Linked DNA regions of Tribolium castaneum. Each later gene encodes a partner of the first gene's protein in a complex. Links are inferred from orthologs where the notes say so. Each region holds a gene or a part of one and is shown in the gene's direction. Other genes may lie near its edges.

The links.
Region 2: the proteins of Gyf (region 1) and eIF4EHP are in contact, whole or in part, in a crystal structure (PDB 5NVM), measured with the Homo sapiens proteins. The link is inferred for Tribolium castaneum from reciprocal best matches to the Homo sapiens genes GIGYF2 and EIF4E2. Residues at the interface, in NP_001096616.1 of Homo sapiens: Leu38, Ala39, Asp40, Tyr41, Arg42, Tyr43, Gly44, Arg45, Met48, Leu49, Leu51, Phe52, Leu53, Asn56, Lys57, Ile58, Pro59, Asp61, Leu62, Asp64, Glu66, Phe67, Pro69, Ile70, Leu71, Gln72; in NP_004837.1 of Homo sapiens: His54, Pro55, Leu56, Gln57, Tyr64, Arg66, Asn81, Lys83, Gln84, Ile85, Gly86, Thr87, Val91, Glu92, Phe94, Trp95, Arg96, Phe97, Ser99, His100, Met101, Val102, Leu107, Phe113, Glu149, Asn150, Leu153, Leu156, Gly157, Glu158.

What each region holds. Positions count from the first base shown.
Region 1 is NC_087402.1:10,002,157-10,006,689, reverse strand, and holds the start of Gyf (GIGYF family protein Gyf), read left to right. Parts: upstream 1-1,528; 5' UTR 1,529-1,639; intron 1,640-1,965; 5' UTR 1,966-1,966; coding exon 1,967-2,082; intron 2,083-2,127; coding exon 2,128-2,779; intron 2,780-2,896; coding exon 2,897-3,040; intron 3,041-4,533. Other genes in the region: Fkbp59 (FK506-binding protein 59), read right to left, coding at 1-52, 104-224, 271-413, 465-660. UniProt on the Homo sapiens protein: Key component of the 4EHP-GYF2 complex, a multiprotein complex that acts as a repressor of translation initiation. In the 4EHP-GYF2 complex, acts as a factor that bridges EIF4E2 to ZFP36/TTP, linking translation repression with mRNA decay.
Region 2 is NC_087400.1:16,080,718-16,084,540, reverse strand, and holds part of eIF4EHP (eukaryotic initiation factor 4E), read left to right. Parts: exon of another isoform or gene 1-512; intron 513-1,482; coding exon 1,483-1,490; intron 1,491-2,896; exon of another isoform or gene 2,897-3,185; coding exon of another isoform or gene 3,186-3,244; intron 3,245-3,295; coding exon 3,296-3,494; intron 3,495-3,823. UniProt on the Homo sapiens protein: Recognizes and binds the 7-methylguanosine-containing mRNA cap during an early step in the initiation. Acts as a repressor of translation initiation.

The sequences.
Region 1 (4,533 bases):
GTGACATCACGAACATCAAATTCCTTGTTTTCGTATTTACCAATCAAATGCACTAAAATTGTGGCAATCAGAAAAATTGAATCCAAGTAAACTATATATTTACCTTCAACGGTGGCCCCATCGTTGGGGTACGTGTACCCTTCACCCGCCTTAATTTGGGCCCTTTCAATGCCCCCGTCTTTCTTGGGGCTCAAATCCTCACATTTCCAGCTAATTACTTCAACCTAAACAAAACAGTTAACTCAAGCTTGTTAAAAAATTAATACCCACGTCAAATCTCAGCGTGGCGTCTGGTGGAATAGTTGGAGGACTGCCAGACTTGCCGTAGGCGTATTCGGGGGCACATGTGAGCATAGCTTGCTCCCCCTTTTTCATAGTGGCCACACCGATATCCCATGCTTTAATCACACTCCCTGTGTGCAAAATAATCATTTAACTTTGGTTTATTTAAACACGAACCGTACCTTTGCCCAAATCAAACTCGAAAGGCTCATTCCGGTCTCTACTAGAGTCGAATTTTGTGCCATCAGTTAGAGTTCCAGTGTAGTGAACTCTGACTTTGGATCCAGGTGGAGGGCATTCGTCACTTGTACCCTCCCGAAGGATTTCCTTGAGGACTCCCTTGTCTTGATTTGGGGAAATATCAATAGGTTCAGGCATGGTTATGGTGGAATATTCTAGAGCCGGCTCTGTAATAATAACATGGAGGAAGTATAGAGAAGTTGATGGTATTTTGTGCCCACAAGTCAAAATAAACACATTTTGTTCCTACTCACTTTAAACAAAATGTACTTTTTTGTAAGTTGGGTTTTTATTCAAAAATTAATCGGAAAAAGCACAAACACACCTTTCAAATTAATGGTTCGAACTGAGACGAAGACGAAACGACAAGAAACGATCACCGTCGTGACTTTTTTGTTTACAGCACGTAACCGTAGACGCAACGTGGGTTTTAAATTATTTGGCGCAAATTGAATTAATTAATGAAACCCAAAAACCATTTGCGTGTTTACTAAACAAAACATTTTTATAATCTAGAAAAAAGTAAATCAGACAAACTAAAAGTTAACAACACTTTCAGGACTCAATAATAATTAATAATAACGCAATAAAAAATAATCTCTTATTCTCTTATCAATCAGTTATCACATAGAAGCTGTGCTTAATTGTAATAAAACAGCTGGGATACCTTGCCTTGGAAAGTAATTTTGAATTGTTATCTTATAATTAAAAATTGCCAAAAAAATAATTGCGTCAATAATTAAAAAACAATGATCATTTAAGTCTAAAGCAAAAACAGTGCCGAAAGAAGTTAAGACTGTGTTTAGATATACAATCAAAAAACAAAAACGCTTTCATTCAATTATTTTAATGAGTTTATTGAAAATTCTTGCAATGTTTTTTTGAAAATAGTAGAATGTGTGTTTTCGAATAAAATGTTGAGCGCATTAGCGTTGGGTTGGCGACTTGTTCCTAATTAATTTTTGTTTAAAAAAATGTGGTTCAAAACAAATTTGAAATGTAGGGTTTTTTGCGTTTTGCTATTGTTTGACAATTGAGCACATGCGCGTTAACCTACAATTTTGCTTCAGCCATTTATGTTGATAGCATATTATCAAGTGTAAAACGTTATAATCAGGTAACAGCCAGTTTATCGAGTAAAGAAATGCAAAAATACCGACAACGGATGTAACTTTGATTAAAGAAAGTAGCTTTTTTCGGGGCAAATCCTTGCATAAACCCGACAATGTTGTCACTTTCAAGTGCCAGCTAGACCTAGCCTGGGGCTTTTGTGTCGAGTTCATGCTTTCCAGATACAGTTATAAATTCGCTGGGTTTCGAAGTTTGAGCCCACATCTTCAGCGACATTGATTAGCGGTGATCTGGTATTTTGCTATAAATAGTCACCTCCATTTTAGTCTAAAATATGGCTTATTCAGTTATGAAATCTCCGTTCTGTTGCAGTATGACCGATTCCTCAATGAATTTTGGTCCGGCGTGGATCCGCAACCTTCGATCGGAAGGCACCACCGGGGGCGGAGGCCCGAGTGGTGGCTCGCGGTATCAGTTGGCAGAGTATAGGTGAGTAAAAAATTTCGAAAAACCCTCACTTCATGTCCTCTCAAGATACGGCAGAGAAGAAATGCTCGCACTGTTTGAGCGCAATGCAAAGCCCCCCGCGTCCCTCCTCACTTTTAAAACGCTATATTCGGAACAAACAATGGTCCCCCTGGCCCTCCTCCCAACCACCGAGGAGGAGCAGAGGGGCTGGCAGAGCCGCCCCACGAGCATCAGTGGGGCACCGCGGGGCAGAGGCAGCTCGCTAGAGCGCGGGGGGCGCGTTAGCAGAGGCAGAGGGGGTTATCAGGGCTACGGCCGCGCGGCTTCGTCATACGACAGCGGATGGGGCAACGGGGAACAGCCCGACTGGAGCCCCCGCAAAGAATTCGCCTCCAGGTCGGCGCTTATCGATAATTGGCGCCGAGTCAGGAATAACAATGAAGAGGATGATGGCTGGCGCAATATCAGCTCTGGTAGGGCTTTGCATGAAAAATGGGGCCGCTCGGCGAGCTGGCGAGGGGAGGGGGACTCGGAGGAAAGGAATGGGCCTCCCGAAAGGGGGGCTCGGGCCAATTGGCATGAGAATAACAGGGGGGCTCCGTTACGGAGGTCTTGGGACAACGAGGACCATCTGCCGGAGTGGGCCACGGAAAACCCCACGGAAGGCGGGGGCACGTTTGATGAAAGAGGGGCGTTTCACGGGTCAGACGATGAACAGGTCAGTTTCCAATCCAAGTGCTTATAAATTAAGTTGGCAATACTTAAGAAAATAGATTTCAATGTTGCCAAATTTATTTCAAATTTTCATTTATAAATGTTTGTTTTTTTCGATTAGGATGGCAAAAGGGATAAGAGGGATATGTTGCAAAAGTCCACCTCACAACAACATATTCCGAATCGGGGTAATCCCCCGTCGTTATCCTCTTCCAAATCTACCACGTCGCTCTCGAGGTCGGAGGACAGTGATAAGTATAAAGAGGTGTGTTTTTTTTTTGTTTTTGTTAAAAAATTACGAACTAATTTTTTATTTAGAAGACAGTTTATGTGTTTAAAATAAACATAAATATTTTTAAAATATCTATAAAATTTTGATTGAGTTTTAGTTTTTTTAAGAAATTGTTCTGCAAAAGTGCAGTGCAAAGGAATCAGTTAAATTTCTAATCAGTGTTCTTTTTTGATTTGAATTGGCTACACTGTAAAATGTACAGGTGGAAGATTTGAAAGTCTGGATCATTACTATAAACTTTATGAAAAAGATTATATAATTGAAAATGTTGTTTTATAAAGATGTACTATGTGTAAATTATGTTTTTATTCCAAAACCACGGCCGATACAAAAATTTTATAAGGTACAAAAATTGTTCCGAAATAATAGGTTTTTTGAAAAAAAAAAGAGAAATAGACTATTCAGATAATGTATAACAAGAATATATCATAGGTAAATACTTTACAATAAGAAAAAAAAAACAAAAAAAATAGGACCGAAACATGTGGTTTTGATGACAAATTATTAGTTCAAATTTCATCAAAACTGCTTATTCTACAGACTGATCCAGAAATACTGAGTCTGTTGGCAACACTGGACTTAAATACTTAAATTTTTAAGGATACCAATGAAGTAGGCTTCCAGTTAACAACAGTTTAACATTTTTGTGGGGTTGTACGTTAAATAATTGTCAAGAAAAATCGAATTCGGTTGCAATGTTGCAAATTAAGAGCACAAATACTTTCAAATGTGTTGTTACTCAGTATTTTTGGATCAGTCTGTATTTTGAAGTTACTAATAAAAATCTATAATAATTTTTCAACTTTGACGCCCTCTAACTTTTAAACAGTACAACTTGGTAAGTTAGTTTAGATTGCTCTATTTTGAGCTGTGGGAAGTCTTTGGTTCTCTGTTGTCCCCATCTTTTCGTTACACCCTGTATTTAATAGAACAATAGTATTCTTTTATTTATATGTATTGTGCCTTTTCCTTGTTTGTAATTTGATTTTTATCTCACCGATACCTTGGATTACTTCATTAATTATATTGGAATTTTTTAAAAATTAATTTTAATGCTTTTTTTTACTTGTCAAATTTATAATTACTTATTTAGAAGAAAATTGAAAGAGGACTACTGAATGTACAGCAATTTCATTTCCTTTGCGTCCACGTCCTAGCGTAATTTGAATTAATTCATTAGTGTTTGAACAATTTTGCTCATTTAAAGAGCGACTTACACCGCCGAAATTTTAAAAGTTTACACTAGAGAGTGTACGTTCAGGAACTGCACGGCTTTTATTTAAAACTTTTCTTAAGTTTTGAGTGTTTGTTTTTTTTTGCTAACGTTTTTGAAATAATTTCTAGATAAATTTATTGCAGTTTAAAAAAAAGTTTAAAATTATGGTTGATTTTCTACAACTCCTAGTAATTATGTTACTAAAAACACCTAAAAGTCAATCTCACATAACCACAGTAATTTAGCATAG
Region 2 (3,823 bases), on another chromosome or scaffold:
AAACTTTTGATGTTTGTAACCGTTATTTATACTCAACCACGCATTTTAGCAAAATATATTTGATTATACAGAGTGTTCCAAAAAAGTATGACGTTATAATAATATTATTTTAATGGCATGCTTTTGTTTTTTATGCTAATTAGAATATCCTTTTCTTACATTTTCCTATTTTTTTCAAATCGGTTCAGGGATTACAATCAAAAAAATAAAAACCAAAAAAAATCGGGTTTACACCTCACATTTTAAAAATTTATAAAAAATATAAAACTGTGCCGCTTTTATACCATTATGATTTTAACAAGTGTAAAACAAGGTCTAACAGCCTTTTTTAAATAGCAATCTTCAAACCAATTTAAAAAGTAATTTAGAGATACAGGTTGACCCAGGAGTGTGTATTCGGTCTATAAGTTATTGGTAATAGAAATATTGCTATTCTGTTTTTATTATCCAATACATCGTCCTAAAGTCCACAAACTAAAAATATTTTATTATACACAGGGTATTGTATACAGAGTGTTAAACCCAAGTTATATTTTCTTTTAATGGAACACCATTTTTATGCAAATTTTTATGCAAAAAATAATATAGCTTTATATAAACTATAATATGTCTATCTCTTTTCGTTTTGGAATTATTCAACTTTTCGTTTTAAAAAAATTTGAAAAATCACTGCGAAGTCGCTTATGAATATTTTCCGATAATTTTTTATCAGAAAAACTTAGAATACCTTGTAGTCTTAGCAAACAGTCGACATTTACTTAAAACACGCAGATAATACAGAGGGTGTGACAAAACGCAAAAAGTTGAATAACTCATTTTTTTCAAATGGAACACCATGATTTTTTTATGTATCGATAGCATTTTTGCTAAGCTTTCTAATGATATAGAATTTGCATAAAAAATTTAAAATATTTTTCAAGATTTTTAAATAAAGTATATTTTATTATAATAAAATTTGTTAGTCTAGAATCTGATAGTCAAATAGTAATTAAATTTTTGTTATGTACTAATGTGACTTATTACATTAGTAATCTAATTATTACCTAATACATAAATGAATTTCACTCATCAAGAATTATTAATAAAATAACTAAAAAATATTTTTAAACACTTTAAGAAATATTGTAAATTTGCTATAGAAACCGCATATTAATAGGAAGCTTATAAAAAAATGCTATCGACACATGTAAAAAAATATATGGTGTTTAATAATAAAAAAAAGTGTTATTCAACTTTTTGCGTCTTGGCACACTCTGTACATTATTTCCGTGTTTCAAGTAAAAGTCAAATATTTCCTAAAACAACAAGGTAATCGGAATTTTTTTGTTGCAAATATTGTTGTAAACGCGTATTGGAAATAAATATTAAAAAAAAAACACGACTCTTAAACTAATGTTAATAATATTTATTCTTCGACACTGTCAAAATTTACGGTTTTTCTCCTGTGTAAGGAAGTTTTGACAACTGTTTGGCATTTCTCAGTACGAAACGTCAGATTATTTTTAACAAATTTAAAGCAATTCTAAGCCTTGCTGAGTGTAATTAAAAGAATAAAATGTTGTATTCAACTCGTTTTTGTGTAAATCAGTTCATTTCGCCTCGTGGATGATAAACCACTCGTTTTCACTCGTGGTTTAAAGCGTCCGATTTACACTCAAACTCATTAAATAAATAACTATTAATTTACTCCTACAATTTATAATTTATTCACGATGAATTTTTGATTTATTTTAACAATGTTATTGCTTTTAGCTTCAAACAAATTGAAACTCATTCGGATTTGCTTAATATGATTTAGCAGTTTGTATTTGACATTATTAAAATTATTTTTGGACTTTATGGGAGTTACAGAAAATATTTGAATTTGAAATTCTTTTAAAATTATTGTAATTGTACGTAATGAAATTACGTAAAATTTCTTAGCATAGTTCTAGACTATAATTATAGTAAATTCAATTAACATTAAAGAAATTACAAAACTTAAGTAGGAATTACAGGAATTAAGTTGGAATTACTAGAAAGAATCTACAGTCTAGAAACACCATAATTTACAATTAATTTTTATTATTCAAACTTTCTAGAATTATTTTTTAAATTCTTTTTAAATTAGGTACTAGTACTAAAATCTTTTCTGAAATTATTGGAAATATTTCTCCTTGCAAATAATAAATAACGATAATTTTTTTTTATTGGAATTAGTTTAGAATTACAGGAAATAATTATTCGGGATAATGTGTATGCAATGAAATTTACGTAGAATGTCCTAGAACTATCGGAATTAAAATTAATTAATCAATAAATTAATTTGGAATTATTGGGAGTAAGTTAGAATTAGAAACGTACATTGTATGTTTTATTTTATTACCGGAATTACGGTAATATTTTTTCGAATTTTCTTACTTGAATTATTGATTTTTTTTCTGAATAAGTGTAATTCTTTTTGTAATTGTTAAAAAAATTTATAATAGAAATCTTTTTGCAATTATCTGGTACGTATTACAAGAAATTAAAATTTCTTCGAGTTTTTAAAAAATTAAAGAAATTATTTCGGAATTGTTAGAATTACGTAAACTAAACTTAAATTACCCACAAATTAATTTGACGAAAATGTCAAGACAAAGTTGAGAAATGCTCAATTGTGGATTAATTTTGTAATTTTCTAATTTACTCCTGATTTGAACAGCTGGATTTAGTATTATTGGTTGCATAAAAATATAATAACAAATCAATAACCCAACTCCATTCGCGACCCTGTAGTGCAAAACTTAAAAACAGATTAAAAAATCTTGGTATTTTTATTTTTTAAATAAACTTACTTTAAAAATAGAGGCCAAAATCCTCTAGTGCAAACGATGGTTGTTTTAATTTTAAATTTAGCGCTGAATTTCTGTTTAGTGTATTCAAACCACCAACCTAACCACGCCATACAGTTAAATAAAATTTATGTTTTCGTGCCCTTTATTGGTAAACTGTGTAATTCAAATTTTTGCCGAACATTTCACACGTAATTGATTTCCGTGTTGTTCAAGTTCGTCACTTTAAATCCTCTCAACATTTATGAAACGTCAAAGAAAAAGTGGCACCCCTGCCAAACAAGGTTAACAAAAAGTGTCAGTTACTTATACGACTCCAGCTTTGAAAAAAGTGATTTAAAGCTATAGAAAAGTTCTGTGATAATTAATTTGATGGTATATAACGTAAATAACCCCCCTACAGCCGGCACCATGTCAAACAAATACGAACCGTAAGTGTTTGTTTCATTCATTGTTCGATGTTTATTTTGTTTGGTGGCCAGCTTGAAACACCACGCGGAAAACTCGGACAGTGGCAGTGGTGACGACGAAGTGGGGCCCTACATCAGTGACTTAGGGGCTATTGAGTATCCTCCCGGTGAACATCGATTACAACATCCGTACTGTTTGTGGTTCTCAAAGAGGCCGTCACAGGTGCAGGGCTCACAGGGGTATAGCCAGGCGTTGCGACTGGTAGGACAGGTTGGTATATGAATGTATTGTAACGTTGTGTTTATTTGGTATTAGGACTAGTTTGCGACATTTGCAGATGAGTACAAAAACTACTCTTCTCTTTGTTATCAACTGACAAACTACAAGTTGTATCAGAAATATTTAAGAAATACTTAATTTGAAAAGGTAACAGAGCTCAACAAATAAAATATCTTTGTAATTTGTAATTTAAAAAAAATATCGCAAATTTACTTAAAATTTGGAAAAAGATAACATACTGAAACGTGTACCCGCCTATGTGTATAAAAATAATAGAGAAGAACTATTTTCGTTGTGATAGAAACGGACAATTTAAACAA